7 linked regions of the Tribolium castaneum genome follow. The protein of the gene in region 3 binds, or shares a complex with, the protein of the main gene of each other region. Links are inferred from orthologs where the notes say so. Each region holds a gene or a part of one and is shown on either strand. Other genes may lie near its edges. The genes, in order: Sf3b5, Brr2, cysteine-rich PDZ-binding protein, U5 small nuclear ribonucleoprotein 40 kDa protein, Tango4, SNRPG and SmD2.

The links.
Region 1: cysteine-rich PDZ-binding protein (region 3) and Sf3b5 share a complex: the UniProt entries of both Homo sapiens proteins name them as parts of the minor spliceosome. The link is inferred for Tribolium castaneum from reciprocal best matches to the Homo sapiens genes CRIPT and SF3B5.
Region 2: cysteine-rich PDZ-binding protein (region 3) and Brr2 share a complex: the UniProt entries of both Homo sapiens proteins name them as parts of the minor spliceosome. The link is inferred for Tribolium castaneum from reciprocal best matches to the Homo sapiens genes CRIPT and SNRNP200.
Region 4: cysteine-rich PDZ-binding protein (region 3) and U5 small nuclear ribonucleoprotein 40 kDa protein share a complex: the UniProt entries of both Homo sapiens proteins name them as parts of the minor spliceosome. The link is inferred for Tribolium castaneum from reciprocal best matches to the Homo sapiens genes CRIPT and SNRNP40.
Region 5: cysteine-rich PDZ-binding protein (region 3) and Tango4 share a complex: the UniProt entries of both Homo sapiens proteins name them as parts of the minor spliceosome. The link is inferred for Tribolium castaneum from reciprocal best matches to the Homo sapiens genes CRIPT and PLRG1.
Region 6: cysteine-rich PDZ-binding protein (region 3) and SNRPG share a complex: the UniProt entries of both Homo sapiens proteins name them as parts of the minor spliceosome. The link is inferred for Tribolium castaneum from reciprocal best matches to the Homo sapiens genes CRIPT and SNRPG.
Region 7: cysteine-rich PDZ-binding protein (region 3) and SmD2 share a complex: the UniProt entries of both Homo sapiens proteins name them as parts of the minor spliceosome. The link is inferred for Tribolium castaneum from reciprocal best matches to the Homo sapiens genes CRIPT and SNRPD2.

What each region holds. Positions count from the first base shown.
Region 1 is NC_087396.1:17,669,418-17,672,876, reverse strand, and holds Sf3b5 (splicing factor 3B subunit 5), read right to left. Parts: upstream 1,652-3,459; 5' UTR 1,528-1,651; intron 1,474-1,527; 5' UTR 1,472-1,473; coding exon 1,214-1,471; 3' UTR 1,181-1,213; downstream 1-1,180. Other genes in the region: Mtap (S-methyl-5'-thioadenosine phosphorylase), read left to right, coding at 1-176, 222-434, 484-513; spz6 (spatzle 6 precursor), read right to left, coding at 3,367-3,459. UniProt on the Homo sapiens protein: Component of the 17S U2 SnRNP complex of the spliceosome, a large ribonucleoprotein complex that removes introns from transcribed pre-mRNAs.
Region 2 is NC_087397.1:20,462,556-20,467,154, reverse strand, and holds part of Brr2 (U5 small nuclear ribonucleoprotein 200 kDa helicase), read right to left. Parts: intron 1,497-4,599; coding exon 1-1,496. UniProt on the Homo sapiens protein: Catalyzes the ATP-dependent unwinding of U4/U6 RNA duplices, an essential step in the assembly of a catalytically active spliceosome. Plays a role in pre-mRNA splicing as a core component of precatalytic, catalytic and postcatalytic spliceosomal complexes.
Region 3 is NC_087394.1:8,405,310-8,408,846, reverse strand, and holds cysteine-rich PDZ-binding protein, read right to left. Parts: upstream 1,952-3,537; 5' UTR 1,835-1,951; coding exon 1,662-1,834; intron 1,604-1,661; coding exon 1,474-1,603; 3' UTR 1,298-1,473; downstream 1-1,297. Other genes in the region: ras-related protein Rac1, read right to left, coding at 653-696; Noc1 (CCAAT/enhancer-binding protein zeta), read right to left, coding at 2,057-2,424, 2,472-2,600. UniProt on the Homo sapiens protein: As a component of the minor spliceosome, involved in the splicing of U12-type introns in pre-mRNAs. Involved in the cytoskeletal anchoring of DLG4 in excitatory synapses.
Region 4 is NC_087399.1:11,299,198-11,304,554, forward strand, and holds the start of U5 small nuclear ribonucleoprotein 40 kDa protein, read right to left. Parts: upstream 3,077-5,357; 5' UTR 2,979-3,076; coding exon 2,868-2,978; intron 2,820-2,867; coding exon 2,690-2,819; intron 1-2,689. Other genes in the region: uncharacterized protein LOC656468, read right to left, coding at 4,596-4,702, 4,753-4,906, 4,957-5,030, 5,083-5,170, 5,219-5,293. UniProt on the Homo sapiens protein: Required for pre-mRNA splicing as component of the activated spliceosome. Component of the U5 small nuclear ribonucleoprotein (snRNP) complex and the U4/U6-U5 tri-snRNP complex, building blocks of the spliceosome.
Region 5 is NC_087397.1:4,268,607-4,273,342, forward strand, and holds Tango4 (pleiotropic regulator 1), read right to left. Parts: upstream 2,616-4,736; 5' UTR 2,503-2,615; intron 2,452-2,502; 5' UTR 2,420-2,451; coding exon 2,304-2,419; intron 2,252-2,303; coding exon 1,894-2,251; intron 1,847-1,893; coding exon 1,347-1,846; intron 1,300-1,346; coding exon 1,098-1,299; intron 1,047-1,097; coding exon 855-1,046; 3' UTR 796-854; downstream 1-795. Other genes in the region: Tbcb (tubulin-folding cofactor B), read left to right, coding at 1-130, 183-399, 447-564; uncharacterized protein LOC656577, read right to left, coding at 2,998-3,930; c-Myc-binding protein homolog, read left to right, coding at 4,588-4,608, 4,658-4,736. UniProt on the Homo sapiens protein: Involved in pre-mRNA splicing as component of the spliceosome. Component of the PRP19-CDC5L complex that forms an integral part of the spliceosome and is required for activating pre-mRNA splicing.
Region 6 is NC_087395.1:18,415,802-18,419,078, reverse strand, and holds SNRPG (probable small nuclear ribonucleoprotein G), read right to left. Parts: upstream 1,287-3,277; 5' UTR 1,159-1,286; coding exon 1,127-1,158; intron 1,082-1,126; coding exon 934-1,081; intron 879-933; coding exon 828-878; 3' UTR 774-827; downstream 1-773. Other genes in the region: zinc finger Ran-binding domain-containing protein 2, read left to right, coding at 1,643-2,323. UniProt on the Homo sapiens protein: Plays a role in pre-mRNA splicing as a core component of the spliceosomal U1, U2, U4 and U5 small nuclear ribonucleoproteins (snRNPs), the building blocks of the spliceosome.
Region 7 is NC_087395.1:17,190,346-17,193,681, forward strand, and holds SmD2 (probable small nuclear ribonucleoprotein Sm D2), read right to left. Parts: upstream 1,473-3,336; 5' UTR 1,373-1,472; coding exon 1,016-1,372; 3' UTR 992-1,015; downstream 1-991. Other genes in the region: Vps51 (vacuolar protein sorting-associated protein 51 homolog), read left to right, coding at 469-581, 627-735; serine-rich adhesin for platelets, read right to left, coding at 2,233-2,328. UniProt on the Homo sapiens protein: Plays a role in pre-mRNA splicing as a core component of the spliceosomal U1, U2, U4 and U5 small nuclear ribonucleoproteins (snRNPs), the building blocks of the spliceosome.

The sequences.
Region 1 (3,459 bases), on a different chromosome or scaffold from region 3:
CGTTTTGCGAAAGAACAAGACAGTTGCTTATACAGACAGCCCAAAAGCTGAATTTTCCTGTCCATAAAACCGGGACTGTAGTCACTATTGAGGGCTCCCGGTTTTCCAGCAAGGCTGAAAGTAAAATGTTCAGGCAGTGGGGTGGGGATATCATCAATATGACCTCAGTGCCAGAGGTATTTTTTAGTAGGGAAAGGGCCCCTTTGTCATTGTTTTTCTAGGTTATTTTAGCCAAAGAGGCCGGTTTGTGTTATGCCTTAATTGCCTTAGTCACTGATTATGATTGTTGGAAAGAAAATAGAGACGAACATGTGACTGTTGCTGATGTTCTTGCCACATTTAAGAAAAATGTGACTAAAGTTACTAAAGTGATTATGGATGTGGTTCCTGCAATTGCTAAAGAAGACTGGAATTGGACTATTGACGAGCTTCAGGTTGTCTCGCTTTTTTTCGTAAGCATATTTTTATTATTTAATTTTTCAGGACTTGGTTCATAATAGTGTTATGAAATAGAACCCAACTTTCTTGGCCTTTATAAGCCTTATACAGCACACATAGTCAAATTTTTGGTGTAGATTGGTTTCATTTGTAAAAAAAAGTCCAAGGTTGAATCTGTCATATTTTATAAGCAAGCTATATTTTTATAATTGTTACATTTTACAGTCAATTAAGTATGCTATTATTGTCACTATAATTGGTAAATAAAAAATAAATATATTGAAAATCTGTTTTTTTTTTATAAAAATGCAGCGAACTAAAGCTAAGAATATTCTCTTAAAGTCATAAATTATTGTACTAGAAAAAATTATATTCCTAATAAGGGTAATAAATAAATACATTTTTAAATGCCCTTCCACTACCTTTAGAAATTTTCCTCCATGTTTTTATTAAAGAACTTGAAACACTATTTAATTTCCAAAACTTTTTATTCGATTAAGGAATACATATCTTCGGAATGATTTTAGTGATATCTTGCCTATGTAATACAGTAATACCTATTTAAATGTAAGTTAATTTTGCGGCGTGTGTGGAATACTCTATTAGTGCAATTAGTATTGACACAAATAAAGTAGGTATTCTATTCTAATAAAGGCGAAATGAAATACAAAGTAGACCTTTCGGCTACAATTATTTTAGTTATCGGAAGAATTCTAAAATGGTCTTTTAAAAAAAACAACGATTATATGAAAATTTTTATTGACTTTACTATAATCTAATCCTCGGGTTTATCTGGAGGTGGACCACACGGTTGAAGCATTTTCTCCATTAGATTAAACCTAACTCGGGCTTTTGCCTCGTTCTCACAAATCGCAAAATAATTTAACAAATCGTGGTGCCCCAAATAACTGGCGTAACTGTCTCTATGCTGGTTCAGCAGCCATTCGTATTTCGTTATTTCAGAGTGGCCTGTTCCGATATATTTCGATTGGAGATGCTCCAACTGGCTGTGGATGTTGTAGCGGTCGCCCATTACTTTTACAAATTGCAGTAAATTACGAAATAGAGACACACAAAGAAGAAACACACTTTTGTTTTGATGCTCCTAAGTTCACCTAACCTCGAACTCAACTCACTACTCATTAGTGTTAAATGTTAGGGTTGCCACTGTTGTTCGGCAGCAAAAAAGTCCCTAGGTTTTTATTCCTCTCGCTAACATTTATTATACAGGGTGTGTTGTATTTCTGAAATTTTCTTTAGGTGCCACCAAAAATGCTATACTATTTTCACTTGAATAACGCGCAATTGTAAATATGAGCCTTAAAAATCCTTCGTTTTGTAGTGTAACAGGATAGTGGTCAGTCTCTCTATTATTATATTATATTTTTCGTTTATAATACACGTGTATTAACATATATCAGTAGGAGTCGTTTATGGCTATTAAAGTACAGTGTACTTTAATGAATTTAGGGATATTTAGTTTTCAAGAGTTTCATCGATAATGCGTGGAATACACGTACGATCGATTTAATCATCATTTCTTCTTTATTTATTATTTATTACCGTCACCAACTGACACGAAATTCCCTAGACGACAAAAAAATTTAATTAAAATAAGAAAAAATCATAAAAACATTCTCGTTTTATAAGGGTTTTGGCGCACTCATCCCATAGAAAACTTGTTTTTAAATATACTATTATTTATTATTATATTATGTTATGCTAGTTTTTATACTTAGTAATTTTTTACGTATATAGACATTATGTGTTTATTTGGTCAGTTTTTAACTGTTTTGAGAAAAAAGGAGACGAACTGAAAAAATGGGGAAAAATACGTATATTATTAGCTGTCTCAAAACTATAAAAACGCTAACGTCGCATTTTCTCTCAAAATTAGCTATTATAAATTATTCATGCACTTCAAAAAAATAATAACTAATGTAATTTATAGTTTCAATAAGAGATTTAATCAATAATAACTATTTCATATTTTTATCAATCTTATTTAAAAATAAAATCGGTAAAATGCAACGTTGGCGTTTTTATAAATTTGAAACAGCTAACAGACATTTTTTTGTGGAAAAAAATTCTTGAGGCCATATTTCAGCCGCTCACGCTAAATTTGTTTAAACCTAATAAATGGTTAATGATAGAAATATGATATGGCAGACTTTCTCGGAAAAAAGCATTCTATACACTTTTTTCAACCATATTTGCAGCGTTTTAAAAAATATGGTGAAAGTTTGCTTTTTTTAATATTGTTTATGATAATTTTTGTGCTTTTATTTCTTGCCATCGAAAATGTAGGCCCACTTTCATAATCGAATTTAACGGAGCATTAAATTAAATGTTTTTTGGAATGTGTGAAAGATTTGTGAAAAATAAACATCTACTTTAATGCTCTTTTAAACCCGATTATGAATGTGGCCCTAAATGCTCTATCAGCCTGTAGTTTTTGTTTGCGTTATACTTATCGTAATTTAAATATAACCATTTTTTATCAGGAATAACTGCCCCAGATCAAACAACCAGTGTCATGAATAATATATTTCTAGAAAATTTTTACACAATTATTATACAATGTCAAAAATTTTGCACGTCCATTACCTAACCCTTTTGAAACACAGTAATTTAATTTTTTATCAAATTACTCTATTTCATAACATTTCTTATCGCCTATTCATAAATTATGTGCAAGTCTTAAGCCTGTGAAACGGTGGAATAGTCGTAACAAATAAATAAAAATATATTAAGTTGCTTTTTCCGCTCCCTCGTCGCCTAAATCGGGAGAAATATCACAAAAAGGGGATTTTAAATCAAACGGTATCGGCCGGTTTTAACCCTTCTCCCCCAAAAATCGAAGACTAGACTACACTTTTTGAAATAAAAATCCCCCTTTTCAATCATCTAATATACAGTCTTGAAAAATTATAGTTCAGTGGTGGATTTCCTCCTGACGTATTTATTAAAATAATCGGGTCTCCAACACTTGCAAGAGCCGGGGATTAAGAACCAGTCGTA
Region 2 (4,599 bases), on a different chromosome or scaffold from region 3:
GGTTGCAAGTCAAGTAGTTCAGTTGGTGGGAAATTCTTCTCTGGTAGTATCAAATGTCGGAAAGAAACTGGTAATTGTGTCTCGGCTCCGATCCATCGATCTGACACAATACGTAAGAAGTACTGAGGTGGCAAAGGTTCGAAAATCGGGACAAAAAATTTAACCAAATGCTCGTCTTGTGAATACTTCGCTTTGAGCAAAAAATACTCATGGTGGAGAATAACCTCTGAATCCACATCTTCCACCAAAATCCAAAACGCTTCAGACGCTCCATGAAGTTTCTCATCCCACTGAAAGTCAGGCGTTATGGTCAATTCAACCTTCAACATTGACCTGGTAATTGGTTGAATATGCGTTGATAATTCAAGTTTGGGGAACTGATGAACGTATTTATGGATAGTCTTGCCCAACTTTGGGACCCGAATCAATTCGCCGATTTCGTTCGGTCCCAAATCGTATAAACGTTCCCATGGGAAATTTTTCTTTTCAATTTTCTTCACAATCTCTTCCGGCATTTTGCGAAATTGGCGCAACGGTGACATCGACTGCCACATTCTTTTATCAATCATTTTACACAAAGCTAACGATTTATCGGCCAATTGTGCCCAACCTCTGTGTAAAACAATCTCAAAAATAGCACGCATTAAACGCGAAGCTGATTGTGTTACGTAAACCATGTCGGACATAAGTGCGAAACCTTCCAGTTTTAGTTGAGAAATGTACGCTTGTAACAGTACGTTTACTTTGGCACTTGGTTCTTCGATACTTTCTTTGATCGGGATTGGAACACGTTCCATCAATTTTTGCAACTCAAGTTTCTCTTCCTCACGGACTGTTATATTCCTGAACTCAGACGATAGGGAAAAAACGCGGAACAATTCAATTTCGCTCAACATTGGTTTGAGCAATTGATTGTAAGTTTGCATCGTTTCGTGGGTGCAATAATAATGCGAGGAAATGCGTCCCAGTTCGGTTACTTGAAACTGACCGGTTTTTCTGTCATATTTAACCAAACCACTACGATCGAGATACAATGCAGCTGTATGTATTAAATCAGCTCGATGTTGTTCCAATAACGGATCTTGTTTGAAATGATCATGTGAAACACCGTACAAAGTTGGTTGTCGAAGCATTCGAATGTATAAATACGTGTAACCTAACCATGTGACGGCATCTCGTACATTTTGTACGGTTCCCAAAACAATCTCAGCGTTTAACATGTCTGATAATTTTGATATCATTTGAGATTCGATGGGTAATTGTTGGTTCAATAGTGATAGATAGTATTGCAGTTCGCTGTGATTGGTTATCAATATGCCTTCACCTCTGGTATCGTATTGAGGTCGGCCGGCACGACCTAACATTTGAAGAACGTCCAAAGCACCCAATTCAACCCATCTGCCTTTTTCTGGATTGTAAATTTGGGTTCCTTTTATTATGACTGTGTGGGCTGGTAAGTTTACGCCCCAGGCAAGTGTTGCAGTTGACACCAGCACCTAGAAGAAATTATAAAATTAGAATGTTTTTTTGTTATTCCACACGTTTTATGAAAACTGATTATTTATACAGGCTGCTCAAAAACTGGCGCACCAACTCAGTGGTACTTTGTTGAGAAGCATGTGTGGATCACGGGAAAAATCTTGAAAAAATTCCTAAAGTCATATTTTAAAAAATCTGGAGCTACAAACTTATTTTGTTAACTTCTTCAGTTTTCATTATTTTTTAATGTTTTTATGTTTCACACTAAGTAATCGTTCCCTAACACAATGATGAACAACTATTTTTAAATTTTCCATCAGACTTTAGCAGTTTTTTTAATTTAAAAAAATTAAAATTCATAAAAAAAATCACAGTTTGTAAATGTGCCAACACTGGGAATTATTTCCTAGGAAACCGTTTCAAAAATAATTTATTTTTATTGTTGATCAAATTCTATTGCGATTATGACTGTTAGACAACGTTGCCACATATCATTTATTTAAAATTAGTTATTTATCAATAACTTTAATGCAAAGAATTTTTTTACTATTTTTACCTTTATATGTAACCAGTCTATCACACACCATTGAGTTGGTGCGCCAGTTTTTGAGCACGCTGTATGTACATTTATACTATCTAAATATACTATCTTATTTACTTACTTACTACTTTACTTACTTACTATATCTTATTTATACTATCTAAAGATACTTTGTCTGAGACTACCTAAATAAAACAAATTAAGAGTAATTTAAGGAAGGCATTTCTGTCGAAAAAATTGAGGTAGTTTTTAGAGAACTGTGTTTTTGAAATAAATGTTTATTGAATTGACAGCTAGCCCTAATTCTCAGTATGTTTATAACGAAATTCTTACACAATATTCTCAGAATTTGCTCCCTTAGCTTACGTCTTAGCCAGGACTAAATAATTATTGGTAAGATTACAAAATAGGGAAAGTAAAAATATAGTCTCTTCAATGAATTTAATAATTAACAAAATGGTACTGAAAATCAAATCTCGAACAAGTAACAGCAAACTAATTGAAGGTAACAAAATTTTTAAACATCTTTGATAAAAAAGTCCAACATCTGCTAACTGCCAATGAAATGTCAAATGGTAATGCAAAGCAATAACATACAGAGCTGTAGTTGCAAAAATCGGAATTTGTTGTAATGTGAAGTGGTGATCTTGTTATAATAGATCCGGAAAAGGTTTAACGGCTTTAGATGAAATGTTTTAATAGATGTTAGCTACCTTCTAAATCTAAATCAGCTGATAAGTCAGTCTGCTCGTTAGGCGATAGTATCAAATTAGAAAAGTGAAAAACGCTAGAGCATACACTTGGTTTTGCATCTACACGACTCAAATAGGGTGTGAAACTTCGTTTTTGAACCATATTTTCGAAACCAATTGATAAAATAAAATTTGATTGTAGAATTGCCTAAGAGTCATTTAATTATTACGAAAACGGGATAATCTACAAAATTTCCAGTTGCTGCTTTTCCGACTCATATTTTTTTGTGACGGTCTTGACGTTACTTATTTATTGCTTAAATCGATAGAGTAGAGTCCGCAAAATGACAGATCGTCCACGGTGGTAGGAGTGCGCAGAGACGAAAACTCGTCACGGACGAGTCCAATCTATAAATTAGGGGTGTTGGCAGAAAACAGTAGCGTGGCGTGTATTTACATGTGTATGGAATTCGTCTTAAAGTTTAACATTTCAATATTACTAGTTATAGTAAAGATACCAGTAGAAACATTTTTTGCAATAAACGCGTTTTTACTCGTTACTCATTGTGTATTTTTATTTATTCGACCTCTCTGCTTTGTATTTCTAGGAAATCAACGTGTATTTTTATTATTTCATCTTGCTATTATTGAATAGAGAAAATCGTAACAACTACAAATTATAAATCTCAAACCCTTCTTGATCACAGAATATTTTTTTGCTACGCCACTGCTCGATCTCCCCACTCGATGAAGTACGCATTGGCTCCGCCTATCGTGGTCGTTTACAGAGTTTCCGAGCTCTAATCAATTATAGCTGTCAACATCTTTAATAATTTTCCTGATAATAAATCTTTTGCATTCTGGTATCACTAATTCTCTGTGTATAAATGTTTTGCTACATGAGAACCCTTTTCGAGTATGTATTTCTACCTAACATATAGTGAAGCTAAAAAAATGGAAACAAGAAACAATAAGTAGAAATCCTGGGTCTGGATGAAGCAAAGTTTCTAATCAAGAACAACATGAATTTCCACGAGTATTTAAATTATAATTAAATCATGTAAATCAGCGAAATAAAAATTGTTCCATTTTATTTTGTCCACAGATACTTAGTTACAATTTTGCTTTTTTTGCAACTCAAATCAATGAATTTCAGAAGTAACAATTTTTACAACCAGAAAATTTTGGAAATACATTTCAATTTGCTCAATTGACGTTCTGAAAGCACAATGCACTTTTTCCATTTTTTTGAAAATCTCGAGAAATCTTTTAAATTTGGTTTACAAACCGTACATCATTAGAAAGCTTATCAAAATTGCTATTGATAGGTGTAAGCAAATACAGGCTGTTCCATTTGAAAAAAAATGAGTTATTCAACTTTTTGCGTTTTGGCACATCCTGTACATTATCTGTGCGTTATAACGAAAAGTTGACTATATGCTAAAACTACAAGATATTCTAAGTTTTTCTGTCGAAAATTTGTCGGAAAATACTCATTGGCGGCTTCACAGTGATTTTTTAAATGTTAGTTGTTTTTAGCACAAAAAGTTGAATAATTCCGAAACAAAAAAAGATAGGCCTATAATAGTATATACAAAGTACCTTTGTTTTTTTACGTAGAATCTAATTATGCAAAAATATATGGGCTGTTCCATTAAAAAAAACATAACTTTGGTTGATCACCCGGTATAACAACATCCTGTGTAAAATATAAATATTTTTAGTTTGTGGACTTTAAGTTGATTTATCGGATAATAAAAACGGCATCGCAGTATTTTCAATAGCAAAAAAGTTATAGACCGATTACGCACCCCTGGGTCAGCCTGTATTAACACTAACAACAAATTCATTATTTGATTTGGTGCCGTCGATTACAACACCGCTGGT
Region 3 (3,537 bases):
AAACATTTTTGGGAGAGGATAAACATTTAAATTGAAGTATTGGATTTTAAAATTTACATACCTAGATACTATGCCTTTTAGGCTATAACATAAAATACTGATATAATGCAACTGTTGAATAATTTTTGAAGAGTATTTTTCTAGTTTCTAGTCATTTAAAAAATGAAAATCAGTGAAAAAATTGCTTTTTATATAATTTTTTGGTGTCCCGTCCGTTATCGCAAACATTACATGTTATTCTTATTTCTTACGATGTTAAACAAAACCAAAAATTTTTAATTTACATTGTCTAATTTTAATATTGCTAAAGTCTTTAATAATTAAAACTTGTATGAATACAATTTTTAGAGATGTTTTCACACACAAGATTTTTTGTCCCGTCCGTCATCAATTTGTATTTCAAACTTTAAAAAATGTGGTTCTAATTGTAAGTTGCAAAAATTTGACTGGTACTAAGTTCCTGTCAAGAAAAATTCACTTCTGGTAATACTGTTTGTAAAAACTGAAAATGAAATCTAAAAAAGTGTGCAGTGCCCTATCTGTTAAAATGGTTGTGAAATAAAAAACAATAAAATAAGAACAATGTGGTTCAATTAAATGTTACAGAGTTAATGTAATTTTTCTAAAAAGAATGTAGGTACTGCAGACTAACCCTTTAATCCGGGTAGTTTCCTCCCTTTCTTCTTGGAAATCCATTACAATACCACACACTAACCGCGATCACTACCCACAACAAATTTGAAATTTTGAACTGGAAAATTTTAATTTTACGTCCGTTTGCGTCAAAAGCAAGAACCAAACTGAATAAAATTAAACGGCAGTATTGTGTAAGTGTATGGATAAAACGTCACCAACAAAAAATATAATCACTGAGATAAGTAATTACTGCAAGGTGGAAAACAAAGAGGTTTGTCTGATTCATTGAATTTTGTTACGACTTCGTCACGTTTTTTTTATATACAGGGAAGTGAATTTTTAAAATCCAATCGCTGAAATTCATTTCTAAAAGGTTATATACAGTGTAGCCACTTTTAGAAGTATTTAATAATACGACAGACATCAATTTTTTCAATTATTTTTTTAGTGCAATAAGACAAAATCGTATTTTAACTTTGTGGAAATAATATTACAGGTACAGTTTTTTAGTTTATAAAAAAGTCCAAATAATAATTCTAGAATATTTGATAGTTGCGTTTTAATAATGTATAGTCAACCTTAATAACAAAAAAGAAATAGGGATAGAATAGGTAGAAATGAATTAATAAGTTAAAAATGTTATCATAAAAATGAAATAAAAAACTTTTGTCATAAGTTATTAAATATAATTACACACCTTATCATTCAAGATAATTAAATTGTCGTACACTCACTGTATACAGACAGAAAACCTAACAGTACCTACAAAACAATGCAAATTGCTCTAAAACTTAGAATAGGCTTAATTTTGTTTAAAAGTAACACACAAAATGTAGTTCAAGTTGACGATTGTTTGTAATTCTTCGTACTCAACAATTTCTTACCACACATCGCACAAATTCCTTTTTTATAAGCACAGGACTGGCAATAATGTGACCCAACCTGGTGCACCTTTTGCCTACATATTCTACAATAAAAACATGAGAAGAGTAAATCAATTTTAAGGATTACTTGCATTAACAAACCTGCAAGTCTCAAAACTGGACGTGTATGGATTAAATCTGTTTTTGCTAGCTGTTAAAGCCTTGTTTTCGTTAACTTTCCTACCCCCTGACTCAGTTGTATTTCTAGCCCCACTTTTCCAAGGATCTGGTGTTATCACTTTGCCCAACTTCTTTTGGCATTTTTCGCACACCATTTTCACAAAACACGATAATTATTGTGAATTTGGTACGAAATTGTAAACACGAAGATAATAAACAGAACGTACTGTTAAACGTCACGAAAAGTTAGGTTATGGGTTATGTGTAGTTGTATATTCGCGAAATACAACCAACACGAATTAAATAAAACACAAAACTGGTGGATTCGTAAAGAATTATATTAATTAAAATGCAATCGACTGCTTCCTTGTCGATTATTAATTCTTCCTCTTCTTTGCCTTATTATTAAATTTATTTGGACCTTTCCTTTTCTTGCCAAAATTGCTACCTTTACTATTTTTCTTTTTGCCAACTACTTCATCAAATCCCTTCAACCACCTATTTCTACTCTGTTCCCAGGCAAGTTGTTTAGTGCTCGCATTATCCTTATTTGATAACGCATTTGAACTTCCTGGGGCTATTTTCGAACTACCTTCATCGTCAAGCAATGAGGCAAATTCTTCAGCTGATGCAAATATTGAGTTTGTGTCTTTGGATTTTTTCTTCTTTGATTTTGCTGACTTCGGTTCTTCATCGTCAAAAACAACTTCCTCGTCTTCATCGTCGTCTAAGTCACCCAGAAGCACTGCAAGCAAAGGATAATTTTGTGTTTTATTATTACAAAAAATATACTTTTGTCATCATCGTTCATTTCAAGGTCATCTTCATCGAAATCTTCATCTTCGTCCATTGACAATTCTTCGTCAGAAGCATCCTCCATCTCGCTATCATCGTCATCACTATCATCATCATCTGTCCGTTCTGGAAAACAGAGCAAAATACATTTTGAAATTAAGTTGGCAACACTTATTTTTATTATTGGTACTATAAATTGTAGGTGAAATTTAAAAATCGAGTACAAAAATTAACGTTTAGATTTGATAGTTATTGTGGCCAACTTAGATTTAAAATCATTGATCACTCAGATTATTATTATTTTTGTAAACTTAATCTACAACAAACTTAGGCATTTCTGTCTGGTTTCCAGCGTTTGCTAATAAATATTTAATTTTTTTTATCTATGTAATTCTTTTCAAAATTTTTCTACAATTCTTTTCTACAAATTAGCAGTTGTCAGCAAAATATACTTTTTTATATTAATTATGAATCTTAATCTGTTCTATAATTATTCTTTCCAATAAATACGTGTACTCAAGCTTCTGAGGTAGAAAAAGAATTCATTAAAATTAACAAAGTAATTAATATAGAAAAAAAGATTTTTGTTATTAATAATGTTGTTCCGGTCATTAAATTAAATTAAATATTTAGACTTCCTCAACCTACTTGATATAACATACACAATAATTTGAAAAAGTATATTTTGAGTTACCGAACATTCGTGTTTTCAAAAAAAAAAACTAAAAAAAAATTTAAAATTAAAATTTAAAGGTAAGTTCAGAAAATATGTTTTAATATATTTTGTGCGGTGCAAACATTTTTTTTTATTACTTCTTATAACATTCTAAGACAACAAATGCTTAAAAGTTGATTTGTGCAAAAGATACATAAAAAATTGTTGCTAACTCAAAGTGTGAATGGTGTGGAAAAAAATTCAACGTAAAAAAGCTAATTTCGGTCCAATTTGTTACCAATTATTCGAGTTATCGAAGTTCGACTGTAATTATTTTTTTTGAAACATTTTCCATAATGTGGTAAAAGTACACAAGTACACAACATAAAAGGTCGAAATTTTCAATCG
Region 4 (5,357 bases), on a different chromosome or scaffold from region 3:
TCTTGAGAAGATAATAGTGAATTTTATCGTGTGCAATACAAAATTTTATTCCATCCTCCATTATTTCGATTGAGTTACTGAGCTATTTTGATTGACAGTTATAAACGTCAAAAACTCAACAAAAACAACAATAGTTGTGAACAATATTATTTCTCTAAGTGATAAAATTTCATTTATCCTTGACGATGGAATAAATAAAATTTTAAATAAAAATATAGTTTGGATTCTTTTAATTTCATTATGAAAATGAACAGAGTTAGAGTGATTAGAAGTAAAGAAATGATTGTACAACTTAAAAAAACAGAATAAAATCATAAAATTTTCTGTTGAATTGAATGCGGAAGACGTTTTTGAATTTGGTATTGCCTTTATTATAAAAAAATAAAATTTTTCGAAAAACTATAATTGATAATTTTCTTTATTTACATCCTCATATGTTCCTTCTGAATAAAGTTAGAAACCTTTTTGGAGAAGATCCCTAAATGAATATAAGTTCAGACGTATATAGGGTGAGTCTTAACTTACACGCATAAATTTAGGGAATGATAGCCTTTCTAGTAATAGTTATTTACAATTTACCTGTAGTAGGTAAAATTTTACAGCGTGAAGTTTTAATATTGAAGCTCGAAACGAAGTTGAGGGCTTTAATACAAAAATTGAACCCTGTAAAATACCTAACGCACAAATAACTTGCAAAACTGGTTGGCCAAATATCGCTAAAAATAGATAAATAATTACCACTCAGCATTTAGATTATTTTACCACGCAATGTCAACATTTTACTTAGCAAATGACTAAATAGTAGTCATTTATACGGACTAGAAAATTAAAAAATTCTAGAATGAAACCATAAAATTTTCTGTCCAATTATTCTACAGAGTAAACTTAATATAACACATAAAATTTATATCTTAGTTATGGCTTATTTTTTTCAATACACAAATCAATTTTATTTTTAGAAACGCTAGTCTTTGACATCCAGTTATTGAGAAAAGACATGTTAAAATAACATTTTAAATAGCCACCAACTTTTTTGTTTACTATTTTAGTACTACACTCCTTCATATTTCTGATAAATATAGGGTGCTCAAAAACTGGCGCACCAACTCAGTGGTACATTATTGAGAAGCAAGTGCAGATTACGGGAAAAATGTTTAAAAAATTCCTAAAGTCATATTTTGAAAAATCTGGAGCTACAAACTTATTGTGTTAACTTCTTTAGTTTTCATTATTTTTTTTATGTATTTATGTTTCATACCAAGTAATCGTTCCGTAACAAAACGATGAATAATTATTTTCAAATTTACTATCAGATTTTAGCAGTTTTTTTAATTTAAAAAAATTAAAATTCATCCAAAAAATCGCAATGTGTAAATGTGCCAACACTGGCAATTATTTCCTAGGAAACCGTTTCAAAAATAATTTATTTTTATTCTTGCTCAACTTCTGTTGCGATCATGACTGTTAGACAACGTTGCCACATATCATTTATCCAAAATCCGTTATTTATCAATAACTTTAATACAAAGAATTTTTTACTATTTTTACCTTTATATGTAACCAGTTCTCTACCACACACCAATGAGTTGGTGCGCCAGTTTTTGAGCACGCTGTATAATAAAATTCAAACAAATGGAGCAAAAAATCAAAAAACAAAAAGAATAAAAAAATGAAAGAGGTAAAAAAGTTATGAATAATTTTACACAAGGGCTTTATTTTTCTGTTTTGGCTTTATTTTATAAGAACGATTGTTTGTTTTTCCTTATTTTTTTGTTTTTAGGTTGTTTTCATATTAGTTAAAAAACAAAAATAAAAAACATGCACCCCTGATAAAACAAAGCAATAACAATTCGTGTATACATATAGTCGATTTTTTTTATAATCAACTGTCAAAGAGCCGTCAGGTTAGTATTACCATAAATAGTAATTTTTACTAAGATGGTACTAATTTTTACCTGGCAAATTTAATTTAATGGTCTTTAAGTTACAACACGCACAACACATTTTTTTAAAAGGCTAACAAATTCTAAAGACTAACGAATTCAAATTTCATTGGCTGCAAAAATTGTCCCGAATGTCAAATCTGGTGTGTAAAATGTCAAATACAGAATACAGCTAGTTTCGAAAGTGATTAGACATGAGATTTTGGTGTGATACAGTCTGGTCTTTATCAAAATTTTGACACTGACAGTTAATTATAAAAAAGAATGAACTGTAGTTATCAAATTATTTTTAACAGCTAATGTACCTGTACAAAATTTAAAAATATTCTTGTTACAAATAGTTTTATTTTTGAATAAATAAACTAGTTCAGAATATTTTAAAAATGAACATTTGCTTCCATTTATTTAACTTGGTAATTTTTAACTACTATTGGAACCTGCACACAGGCGGCCAATTGGCATGGCTCAGCCCTGCTAACATCAACTGATGAATTATGTTGCACAAACAATTGGAAAAACAGCTTTAAGCTTATTATTTACATTTTTATCAATAACAATTGAAAATTTTTTACTCTTAACTTTCGAATTATGTTAACCCCCTGAATCAAATTCCCAACGCACGGGCGTTAATTTTAAGACACCCTCTATGTACTTCAAATTACTATATTAGATATTCAAGTAAATCCTCCAAAATTTTGATATGAAGACCTATTTGGCTGAACCTCATTGCAAAAAAAACAACTTACAAATTCTACGGTCGAAACCTGATGAAGCTACATATTGACCCTCAGGGTGGAATTCCACTGTGAAAATCTCACCCTCGTGGCCCTCCAGTAACATAATGGGGGCAAATAGATTGGAAGTTCTCGCAGGGGCCTGAAATACATGATTTGAGGAGGGTTTTTGAGGTTAAGTGTTACTAACCGCTTGTAAGACCGATTTGTTTTTGTTCGATGTGGCCACTTCATTTTTCGATTTTTTGCTTACGGGGACTAGAGATGATGAATCTTCGGCTCGACGTTTCTCAACAACCATTTTTGGTGTTTTAAACAAAAATTGGGAGGAAAACAATAACCTCACTTTTTAGCGTCAACAAAACGAAGCGATAAGCGCCCTCTGGTGGAGAGCACGAAGTACGATTTGATTGTATACCCTGTTTCAATTATATAAAACAAATAGTTATCTCCTTTGGAATAAATGTTTGACAACAATGAAATGGTTTCCCAATGTCGATATCTAAAAATTATTTGGTTTTTTACTTGCCAAAATTTCGAAAACGATTAATATTAGCTCACTTAACTCACTTTGCGTAATTCTTATTACTTTTTTGCTCTAAAATTGTCAGTATTTTCCCGGTACTAACAGATTTTTGTTAGTAATTTGCAACACTGAAACACAATTAAGTTTCTCTTGGCAAATATTTGAGGTACAACCCCATAAGACTGTTGCATTATTGCGCCATCATTTTTAGTGTGTCGTACTAATTTTTTGGGATTAGAAACTCCTGTAATTTTATATCTTGTTTCATCTCCTAAGTTTAGGAGGAACCCCCGGAGTTTAGGCTCATTTTCAAACTACAAACATCTTTTTTGCGTAATTTTACTAAAATAGATTGATAAGAATGATATCTTCCAAATTATAGTCGTTATTATAGTCTGCTTTGTTTGATTCAGTAAAGTTTCGACTTAAAAACTACATATTTTCTTAAATTCTGTCAGAAGAAACTTAAAAATCAGCAAACTTGATCAAAATTAGATACTAGATACTAATGTTTTTTGTGTAATTTTGGCAAAACAATCCAAAAGGTTGTTAAATCGTGTTAAAAATAATGTTATTTGTCTATTTTCAGATGTTTATTTAATATTTTAGCACTTTTTTTCGTGAAAAAACACCGTGAAAATCCTTAAATTAACTAAAAATTGACTTGACTTTGGTTTATTTTGCTCAATTTTTGAACTCATTTAAACTCTAAAATAAATCAGTTTGTAAAAAAACTCTTAAAATGACACTAAAAATCATTAATCGAAAATCCCAAATTTGTTGGAAAATTATGTTATCTGTGCCTTTTTTAAACGTAGAATTTTGTTAACAGACCGACATTGATTAATGATTTCTTCCTCTTAGACGATATTACAGAAAAAACTTAAAACACTGATTGCATGCCAAAAAAATTGCCTAAACATTTGCAAATATTTACGTACGTTTCTTCCAGAATATGTATATCCTGTTTTTATAACTCATTTTAATTAATTTTTACTTAAAATATTTACTTCCGTGCCTACGGAGAGTGTGATGCAACTAATCTAATAAAAATATTTAAAATAAGTGCTCAAACATTAAACTTTGCGACACGCAAAGTGGATAAATATTTGCGGCATTCCATCAAAGTTTGCGTAATTTCCATATTCTGTAAAATGCATGTGTTAGATGGAAAGAAATAGCAAAATAAACATTTATTAAAGTGGATTAGCAGATTATTTCAACAATAATAAATAGACTAAAACCTACGTCATAAAAAATTAATATCTTGCAATAATATCATCAACAACAAATCGTGTTACACATTTCACATTTTTTTAGACTAGTTTTAACTAAAATTAACTCCGTCAAACAATTCTCTGTCTTTGGTTGAATAAAAACACACAGTTTTTCCTAATAGTGCCGTCGGAACGGATCTTTAATATAAGCCCCACGTTTGGTTTCTTCCCGAATAAAAGTGAAGTAACTGAAGACCACAAGCCACATGTAGACGTAAATAACTGAAACAGGAAAATAAGAAAAACGAAACTATAATTTTTCAAATACTTACTAACTGCAATGATGCCCAAAACAATCCATAATGTACCCTCTGTTGATTTCCCATTAATATAAAATTGAACGGCGGTGTAAATCACCGAAACTAATATACCTATTGCCAACATAATGGCTAGAATTACCCAAGGCATCATCAAGAATGCGTTTCTCTGCAAAAAAATCAATAAGAATAATAATAAATAATAATGCTCCACTTTACCTTTAAAGTCCCTGCGATTAAAAGTATTGAAATAAGAATAGCCATCGCGAAATTAATCACAATTACGATACGAACTGGAATTAAAAATGTGTAAAAAATTGTTAATTAAATTAATTAATGACGCACCAACATCCTGTGGAAGCCAATCCAAAACTATCGTTTTGAATTCTACTTGGACTGTGTAAATTACAATGATCCCAATTATTGCCACAATCTGGAACAAAGAATTGTGTTCTCTTGTTTTAATAAAAATGTAACTCACAATTCCGGCCACTCCAGCCACGAGAGTTCCCGTTCGGAGACTCGCAAATCCTAGGAATGTCTTCAAAGGTTTCATTTTTCAATTCTGGAACAAAAAAAGTTGGTTACAAACCGGCTTATTGGAGGACCGTACTTTAATG
Region 5 (4,736 bases), on a different chromosome or scaffold from region 3:
CACGTGATTGACCAGTTTAATATACGCAATGAGCTTGATTTTGGAGATGTGCCTAAATATGAGTTACCCGAGGAAGAGTACAATAAAAAGACAGATTCAGTCAAGGCATTTTTAATGAAAAATAAAATGGGTAAATTGCCACCAAAACCCAAGATTTTCCAGAATAAATTGTAAATTTTCAGGGCAATATAACGAGGAGAATATAAAAAAGAAAGAAAAGCAAATGTCAGAGGAAAAACAACTGGCAGAAAGCACGCCAATTGGTTCAAGATGCAAAGTTACTGTAGCCAATGCTCCCTGCAGACTTGGCACTGTGATGTACACAGGGCCTGTTGAGACCTTACCTGGATATTGGATAGGGGTCAAGTATGACGAACCTTTGGGCAAAAACGATGGAACGTAAGTTACGACCATCAGTTGAAAAAAAATTCTAGCTTTTGTTGCAGATTTAAAGGCAAGAAATATTTTGAATGTGCTAATAATTATGGCGCCTTTGTTAAGCCACACAACGTTGAATGTGGCGACTTCCCTGAGGAAGATTACGACTTGAACGAGGAAATATGATTGGTAACAAGCATTCCAAATTCGCAAACGAATTAATTTATTGTTTTTATCAAATTAAAAATTATTTATCGTAGAGCATTTTAACCTTTACCCTCACGATTTTACATCTAGAAAATCGTAAGTTTTGTGCACTTCTGCGATTATTAATGGTCTAGAAATGTCAAATGGTTTGATTAATTTTCGGAAAATTTGATAAATAATGCAAAGTTGGGTAAAATTAAAACTTTTTAGTAGCTCATAAAATTTTATTTATTATTTTTATAAAAATACAAATTATTTTAATCATAGAATTAGAATTTCCTCCGTTTCAAAATATCGGGTTTCCAGTTAATCGGATGCGTTTCTTCAGTCGCAGTTTCATCCTCTTTGTAGATTTTGATGGTCTTGTCAGCTTCAGTTGTGATTAATCTTGAGCCAGAATTGTCGAAAATCATTGAGAATATTCCAGCTTCACTGTCCATTGACCCAGGTTGTACTGGGGCCTAAAAATGTAACATTAATCGATTGACTTCCTTCAAAGTTACAAAAATTACTTGTAATCTTTGGAAATTGTAACCGGTCCTCCAATCCCAGAAATGTAAAGTTCCATTATCGCCCCCTGAAACCAGGACGCCTTCTGGATTGACAGCGAGACAATTAACAATAGCATTATGACCGGACAAATTCTGTATGAATTTCCCGTCAGGACATTTCCACTGTTTTATGTTATCGGGTGAGCCCGACGCGAACATGTTCCTACAAATAATAAAATAATTACAAAAAAAATAATTAAACAATCGTACAAAGTCGGGTGGAGAATCACATCTCTAACGCTCTTTTTGTGATTGGTAAGCGTACAAATTGATTTCCCAGCTGCCAGGTCCCATAATCTGATTGTGGTATCATGAGATCCTGTGATAACTTGAGGTTCGGAGGCTTGCGCCACCACGCTAGCTACAGTATGCGTGTGGCCGGTCAAAGTGTGAACATTTGCTTTCGTCCTCATGTCCCAAACCCGGGCTGTTGAATCACGCCCTGCTGTTAATAAAACATCGATTGTGGGGTGAAGCGCTAGAGAGTATACAGCCGATAAATGGCCATGGTAATGTCTAATGACTTTGTTGTACTCCAAATCCCAACACTTGACCTGTCTGTCTTCACCGCAACTGAACAAATAAGGGTGTCTACTGCTCACAGCCAACCCTCTGACCGTGCTCACATGCCCAGTTAGGGACACTTTCAACTGCCCACTTGCCAGGTCCCAGATTTTTATTATTCGGTCCGCTGCGCCGGTCGCAAACCACTAACAAAAAAACGGTAACAAATTTGCTGCCAACAAAAATTTTATACCTCATTTCCTGGCTCCACCGAAACACACCTGACCCACCCCAAATGCCCCGCAATCACCCTGTATAGCTTCCAAGGGGCGTGCCATTTCGGCTTTGGCATTGTGGGGACTTTTTTCATTAAATTGGCGAGCTGGTTTTGTGTGTTATTTTGGACGCTTCGTGTCATCAAACTTGTGTCAGTGTACGGTACAACAGCCCCCTCGGTGTTTGGGGCCGCGTCGTCAGTGCGTGTGCCCGGTGGTGGGGGGTTTGGCCCAGCTTCTGCCTCCCGTAAGTGCTTCATAGCTTGCATTTTCTTAACGTCGTCAAAGACTAGGCCGTACAAGTCACGGGCTTTTATGGCTTTTCGCACCATTTCGCTATTTAATTCGTAATATTAAGGGCTGCTTGTTTTTGTGGTTTGTTACTCACGCTTTTTCGTCCACTGATGGCAGTAGTCCCTGGTTTGAGAGAAACATGTCGTGAGACCGTTTCAAGGAACGGAATACTAACGTATGTACGGAGTGTCTCTGCACGTCTTCGGTCATTGTGAAGACGAGTATTTAACTCCGGATATTTACTGAATTGTAATACTAGTAATTAATCTTCGGGTAAATAAACAAAATCGTACTTAACCTCTCTGCAAAAAATCACCAAATCCACCATTTGGTAACTTTTGGTTCGTAGAATAGACAGGAAAAGAAACTACTATTGACTCAACCGTGGAGGGAGTTTGAGTTTTTTTTTTTTTTAACCAAAAAATAGTTAATTTCCATACCAAATTGAATTGAATTTCTTATTTGGGTAGTTTTGGTCACAAAATAAAAGCACGCCAATTTTTTTAACATTTGTATTTTTCAACAATTATAAAAATAGATACGAGTTGTTTCACTTATAAATATTTCGTTATTAAGTCTACAATAAAATACATAGTTTTTTGACCACAAAACGCATCTAGTTTTTATCTGTACAAGTCCCAATGTCAACATTCCTGAGCCCAGATAAAAGCAATATTACACAAATTATTTACATTGTGAGTCGACTACAATAAAGTAGCTTTGCCTAGTGCCCCACTTTGCAGCGATGTGATTAAAAATGCAAACAGAATTATATAATGCAAAGAAACTTAATCCAACGGAGTGATCTTGACTGAAGATCCGCGAGATTTGCGATACCTTTGAAAGTCTCCTGCCTGGTAAGGTAATGCCCTCATATTACTTCTATAATATGGTACATCATACGGAGATATGTGTAATTGATTGATTGGTGGTGACCGATTTCGCCACAAAACCGCCAATAAAGAATAAAATCCACAAATGGTATTCGAAATTAAAGTCATAAAGTTGACAATAATTGGGGTGCAAACCCTGATAAGTCCTTGCGTTTCACGCAAAAGTTTCAGGAGATAGTCTAGAAGGTACTTGATGGTGTGTATCAAGAAAGTGATCAGTGTTGATAACAAAAGAACCATAAATATGGTGGCTTGTTTAATGTTGGGCCAAGTCAAGGTTTCAGTAAACAAGTTCCTCAACTGATCCTTGAAAAACTCCTGAAATTTTGCACCCAATTCACCCAAATTCTTCTGAGAAACGTCTTCAAAAATCTGAGTGGGAGTTATATTATGAACTGGAGTCTTCTCTCTGACTGGCCTCACAACTTCAAGCTTGACTCTAACTTCATTGTGGAAGAATTCAACGTTTTTGATTTTGTACCAAAAACTCCCAAAAACCTCTTCGTCCAGACTCACCCACAAATTGTAACCTGCCGGGGCCCCGATTGTTTTCGGCTCCGTGATACCAATCCACACATTTTTGGTAAAATGCTTCAAGCAGCGCTTCCTCACTGCTTTTAAATTCGCAATAAGGTCGTGTTCATCGTCGCATATTTTAATTACATCGCGGTACGAGTTCAAAGGTTCAACCAGCCTTTTTTCCAGAAACGTACCGATAAATAGGGAGCTCTTGAGCATGTGTTTTGCAAATTTGCGCACTCTTGTCTCCTCGTCATCGTCGGAAAGGCTTGCAGACGAATTTCGGCTGATTTCACTGATTTTTGTCATTTTTTACAACTGGGGTCTTGACGTGTTTCTAAGAACTGTTACGTAAGAACTACATTTGTGTACTTCCCCCAGTTACTTACGGGTGCTGAGTTGTCCAAACATAACAGATCAAAAGAAAAATACACTTATTTGCAACATTTTATTTACCAACAACTGTCACTTTTTTGACGTTACGTGACCCAGTGACATCTGTTAGGTATTAATAATAAATTAATTAAGAGTTTTACAACAAGACACCAACTTATTTTATTCAGAAACTGGTGTAAAACATTAATTTAATTAAAATGGTCCTCGTAAAGCTTGCATAAATTGTTAAATCAATAAATTGAGGAATGTTTTAAACCCGGCGCCGCACATCGAGTAACCAGTTGCCCAATGCCAGCAACCTAATAACCGCGAACGTTCCCAGTTAACGAAGTTTCTTTGAATTTGTGTTGTTGACGAAAACGCTGTTTTCAGCGTTTTATTTTATAATTTCCGTAAATTTGTTAATTAACCCGTTGAAAGGTGTTGTGACAGCTCCTAATTTGTCATTTTACCCACACAGTGTCAAAGCTCACCCAAAACTTGATACTTGAACGGTTGCGAGCCACAAATTCGTCCAAATCTTGTGATTTACACGTGTACAACCACCCATTTATTTAGCTGTTTTGCGAAATGTCGAATCCAACTTTCAAGGCAAGTTATCCGCCCCGACTTACCCTTTAACCTCAACTTTTCCCACTAGCCGTCCGAGGGAAAACGCGAGGAGTTCCGTAAGTACCTGGAGAAGAATGGGGTTATGGATGCCTTAACCAAGGTCCTCG
Region 6 (3,277 bases), on a different chromosome or scaffold from region 3:
AATTTTTCGTATTGGAAAAACGAGAAAAACTTGGAGAATTTCCAGGAAAAATAAAAATAGAACTCTCTCGAGGGTGGCATTATTAAAATGCTGTTTTGACATGAAAAAGACGGGTCAATATGACGTTGGAAAGTCTCTTAGTGTCATCTTCGGAGTTTGATTGCCGATTTTATCCCAATATTACCCGTCACCTTTCACAAGATTCTATTTAAAAAATTATTCCATTTAATTTGGGGATTGTAGTTATAATGTCCATTGTTTCGGGCACAATTAACTAATTAAAGCGAAATCTTATAGGGCAATACATTTCAGCGTGTTCCTTTGACCTAGTCAAGGGTGGTTGCTTTAAGACTGTTCCTCAAAAAACTCATTTTCCAAGGAAATGACATTAAAATCGAGTGGGTGTTAATTTCGATCCGGATGTTTTCCCGGAAAAACTGTCAATGGGGGCAATACCTGACGCTGATTGTGATGTGGCTCTGGAAAACTCGTCACTACACGAAAATTTTCACTGGAACGTCGCCGCCGAGACGCTTTAATGCCAAACTAGCGAACGTTTCCAATATTTTCCCGACGGTGGAACAGTGGCGGCGCGCATGCGACATTCTCTAAGCTTTTCATACACTGTTACGGACAAACCGCTCGAGGAAAACAATACGAATTGAATTTCTTTGTGAATGAACGCACAAAAGCGACGACGATAATGCTTTCCCTCCTATTACCCTAATTCACTTATTTCCACCCTACCCCAAGCCCAATAAAAGAAAACTCGGTCAGAATCGAACGCTTTTATTACAAATAATTATCGATTAAGCCAAAATTACAAACTAAATCCTATCTAGAGCCTCCAACATGACGATACTGTTTCCCCGGATCACCTGTAATAAACATAACCTCAAATTTCAAATCCACACTAATTCAAAAGAAACGTACCACCATCCCTATATTGTTTTTCTTGCCATCCCGGCACTCTTCCACACTCTCGTCCACCACTAGATTCATAAAAGGGTCGAAACCGCGCAAAATACCAACGACTTGTCGGCCCCCATTCAACTTCAAACACAATTTTTTGTCCATAAATCTGCAAAAAAACTAGTAATACGTTCTACGACAAAACAAGACTCACTTTTTCAATTCCGGAGGATGTGCTTTCGACATTTTGTGTACTTTTTTGAGTTTTTAAAATTTAAAACGCTCTTCAAACGCTTGACACAAACTGACAGATTTGACAGTTGCTAAGTACAGGGCATGATCAGTTGTCCCAATTTTTTCACATTTTTAACGTATAGTTAATGCAAAAAATTAAACAAAACAAGTCATTGGTTTTGGTGATAACTGTAATCAGAAATCGGTAAGTGTTGCGTTGAAATAAGGCAATTGTTGTTTTGGTGATCGTGTCCTGATTGGTGTGGGCAACGTTTGGCGTCGAAAATCCCTCTGTGCTAGTGACATTTCGGTGCATCTTCGGTTTGACGTTACTTTTTTATCAACAAATTTGTTGGAATAACCGCTGGAAAAAGGTTCAGTAAAGGTAAAAGCAGTACCAGTACCGCCAGATGTTAACATTTGCTCCTCCGTTCCCTCTAGTAGTGCTCCTTCTAGCCACTACTCTTTACGCCTTTTCTAGTCTAGTATCGCCCCCATGGAAGAGGCCGAAGTGACACCGCCCCCGCCGCCGTCGCTGAAAAGCCCGTCGGCGTCGAACGAGGGAGACTGGACGTGTCCGGACTGCGGTAACGTAAATTTCGCCCGCCGTAACAACTGTAACCGTTGTTACAAAAGTCGGGGGCCGGTGTCGGCGAAAAAGCGCAAATTGGGGCACGAGATCGGTAAAGCGGCGGCAGAGAAAAGTCGCGGGTTGTTTAGTGCCGACGATTGGCAGTGTAACAAATGCGGTAACGTGAATTGGGCGCGGAGGCAGCAGTGTAACGTTTGTAACGCCCCCAAGTTTGGGGAGGTGGAGGAGAGGACGGGGTTCGGTGGGGGGTATAACGACAGGGGGGTGGTCGAGTATAAGGAGCACGAGTCTGACGACGAATATGACGAGTTCGGGAGGAGGAAAAAGAAGAAAAGTGAGGAGGTGAAGGAGATGAAAAATAGTGTAGATAAGGTGGAGAAGAAGGTTGAGGAGGAAGAAGAGGAGGAGCAGGAGGAGGACGAGGAGGAGGATGACGACGACGGAGACTTATCGAAATATGATCTGTCGGATTGGGGGGATTCAGGGGAATCGAATAGTAAACAAAATAACTCAAGATCTAAGTCGAGGTCACGGTCTCCACAACACGAAAAAAAAAAGTCATTAGTCGAGTCGAAATTTTTATAGACATTTAGGTGAATAAATCTGCTTTGTATGGTGGTAAATTCGAGTTAGGTATACACAATAAACCATTACTTTTATTGGTGCCTGATTTACATTCTTCTTCACCTGAAAATCGAATAGATTCTAGCACCAAGTGACTAACGAAATTTGTTAGTTTTTGTAGTTGTTACGCTGTAAAATATTTATCGTCCACGAGTAACCCATATTAATTGTAAAATTAACAGTGACAACTGTGCGTTCTTCAAATCAGGACTAAAAATCTTGATTTGAGTAGATCAACATGTGTAAACGTGAATCCTTTAGGGGGATTTTAATCTGATGTTTTCTTGTTTCAGTGACTTCCTAAATTTTCATTGCGCCAACCTAGGATTTTCTTTACTTATCCATATAAGCACTTATGTACGTTTACAATAATTACAATAAAGATACAAACAATTTATCGTGTTTTATTTACATTTTCATGATGGTGTCAAATTGGTGGATGCGCCGGGAAAACAATTTTGATTTGGAATTAAATATAGCGTGTGTCAGAACTAGCTCCCCAGAGAAAAAGGTGTAAGAGGGCGAGTCAAAACAAGAAATTATTTGAAAAAAAAATGTATCTCAACTGGTAATCGAGTTAAGACATCCTAAAGTTGGGCCTCTCCGAGAGCAATAGATTAGAGATTTAGTGAATGCTTGAATAGGTATTTTTGGTTGTACTTAAGACCATTTTAGAAATAATAAGTTCTTGTATTATAAATTTTGTCAAAACGTTATTCAGATTCTGTCAATATGACTGTAGTAGTCACGTTCATAATATTTACGTATTTTTAAAGCCTGGTAACCTACTTTAATTCAAGATCATTTCTGAGGTTGAGCTTCTGGGATTGGTGATTTTTAGAATCCTATTACTCGAACAACGTTCAAGACGGCTAATTTTTTTCAAAATTTACAGATACTCAATTTTTTACGGCC
Region 7 (3,336 bases), on a different chromosome or scaffold from region 3:
AGAAGTTAACACAATAAGTTTGTTGCTCCAGATTTTTTAAAATATTACTTTAGGAATTTTTTCAACATTTTTCCCGTAATCTGCACTTGCTTCTCAATAACGTACCACTGAGTTGGTGCGCCAGTTTTTGAGCACCCTGTATAAATTTATTTGGATTTTTTCTGTCATAAATAAAAATTTTATCGTAAATTGTAGGCAACGTTGGGTCACCTATCCAGATGATTATTTTTTTAATTTTCTTTAAGAATTGGTTTGTTAAATTTTTCATAAAAAAAATAACATTTTCCTTTAATTAACTTAACATTTGACAATGCAAAATAAATGTTTAATTCTGAATTAAATTTTACTTGCGCTTTCTGTAAACTGAACTACATCTAGTTGGCATTCCGATAATTTACAGCAGAGGCTAGTTTATTAAGGCATCATTTTGTGGAGGGTTGAAGCATTTAATCAAAAAATAATTTCTAGACGTTCATGGAGTGCGTACGTCTGAAGACTTTTAGTAAATTTGGCCTCCAACAAATTCAAGTGGACACGCATTACTTGCAGTTGTATTTGTGGCGATTTGTTGCGGATGAAAAGTACGTCACGAATTTGAATTTAGTGAAATTAATTGAATTTTCCAGCTTGGTTCATTTCCTCCTGGATGAGATTTTGGGATCAGCAGTCCACAGGTGCCTGGAACCGATTTTAATGGAACCAAGCGTTGTGGACATCATATGTGAAAGGGGTTAGGTCATGCAGCTTGCATAAGTTACAAATATTTATTATTCTTTTGTATTATCTTGTTTAAATAAAAAGGAGAAATTTTATCACATTTTGTTGTATTATTTTTATAGATAAATGTTAAAAAACCGTTCAATCTTTCATTTGCAACGACATGAATGTGATATTTCCACAGTATCACGTTCGCGGTATCAATCAACCGCAGAACAGAAGGACCACACGAGTGAAGTGATAGGTAAGTGAATTTCCTCAATAAACACTAAACTGAAGATACAAATTTTATTCCTAATTAACCACTAGCCGTAGCTAGGGGGTTCCTTACAACTATAATAACCGCATCGCCTCGCAGAAACATTTTCGAAATGAACCGATCCTTATTTACCGGCTTGGCTTTCTTCTTCCCCTTTCCAGGCCGGGGCAGCTCTGTCCACATTTCCTTCACATTCTCCAACACTATGTTGCAGTGCCGATCGAACGCCTTCACCCGCCCCAGCAATTTCTTGTTGTTTCGGCAGTTTATCAGCACCTGAGTGTTGTTCTTCACCGACTGAGTGAGCACCGAAAGGGGGCCCGTGTTGAACTCTTCCTCCTCGCGAGCCTGAAGCTCCTCGGCCGTCATTTCAGACTTGGGTTTCGTTAAAGCCATTCTGACTCGGTTTTTGCACTTAAAACAACACTTTTTCCGGCACAAAAATAGTTAGGTTAGGAATTTGAGCGTTTTGGATGCGTTTGGGGAATTTTGCAATGCGCATGCGCAAACTGGGTTTAATACTATGGCGGCAGATTCAAACATTTAAAGTGAAGAAAACAAACTTCGAATTAAATCAACAATTATTCTTCTCACATTTAAAGTTACATTAAGATTACTCTTTTGAATAATTAATTAAGAGTTTTAACATACTCAAAAACCACGATCTAAAAACTAATTACAAAATCGAGCAAATAAACCAATTTATAATCCATTGAGATGAAGACGTTAAATATAAGAGCAACAAGCTATTAATGAATCAGATAGGGGAATGCACCGTTTATTATAATTTAACTAGAAAATGTAATAAATATTGCAAATACGAGTATTGCAGTGCATTTTTCCAACGAAGGGAGTTTAATTCCCAGCAATTTGTTAGCCCCAGAATCGAAAATTAAATAATTACGATAAACAATAATCACTCTTTATTTATAGTAAGTATAACAATAAGAGATAACCAGTGCAAGTAATTATTCCAGCAGCGTGTTTATTTAAGTATACAAGCAATGCCAACGCAAATAATAATAGAATAATCATTAAAATGCAGTGAGGAGCCGATAAACCACCCCGTCCCGCTATATAAATTAAATACTTGAAGAAACGCACCAGAAGAAAGCCTCTTGTCCACCCGGTATTAAGTAGTTGCGCCGAAGGTGATGTTTTTGAAATCTCCTCGGTCTGGCTGCTTTATACCGCATGGATGAAAATCACCAAAAAAAGTCTGTTTTCTTGTCACACGTTGTCAGATTTAATAATTCTTAATTCGACTTCCTCATTTGCGGCGTTTCCTGTCGCCGCCCGTCTAAGGTCCCGCATTTGAGGCTTCGTTTTTCATGAGTTCGGTCTTCGTGTGCCTACCTTAATTCAATTAATCAATTGACCAGATGAATGGAATAAAGTTCATATGTTTGACATCGACGATGAACATATTTAAATCTCGTTAGGGGCCACTTCGGACTAAATAGGATAATAGCCGATGCTTACGGCTGCTTGCTGAATGCCTCTTGTGTCGAGATACACGCGCTGTATTCAATGATATTGTTTGTGTTGGGCAATTTTCTATTTTTGACGCAAGTGTTTATAAGAGTGGACTTTTGCTCAGGTAATTTTTGGGGAAATGTAGAGTAGTTCTATGTAGAGGAGTTTGATTTGGAAATGATTTTCCGGGCGTTTATACGCGAAAATTTTCCAAGCACTTGCTATTAGTGTTAATTTTGTAATGTTTTAGAGAGTAAAGGGGTACCAATCATGCAATCAAACCAATCAACGGCGGCATTACTACACATATTTTTCGAATGACATCGAATCTCATCTTTAGTCCTTAGATTTTTTCTTAACAACAGTTCCAATTTCATAAATTTTCTGATAAAAGAAGAGTCCAGGCAGAAGTATATTTTCTGTTACAGTTTTAATAATCTTCGTTCACCCATTAAAAAAAAATCCTATAAATAAATTTACTAAATATCTAAAGTTGATTCATAACTTGACTGTATCTAATTAATGTAAGCTAAAATCGCCCTAAACCACCTAGCAAATGAGTAATGCTCATCCAGCGGGAAATATTATAGGATATTCACACAAAAAAAGTTATAAATAAAAAATTAAAATTAAAAGAAAACAAAAAACTATCAGAAATTTTACAAAAACAAAACATTTTCTTTCCTAGCAAATAAACAAAACAGATAAACATTTTAAAGAGGGCTTTAGCTTAGTAATAATTATTTAGTTTTCTGAAACTACATAGATAGCTATTTTTGTATAGCCTTAAATACGATGTCAAAAATGATGATGTTATAACTTTTGATAACTTAACCAAAAAAAAAGTGAACTCGATTTGTTAATTACACTAGGTAGTTTAAAAA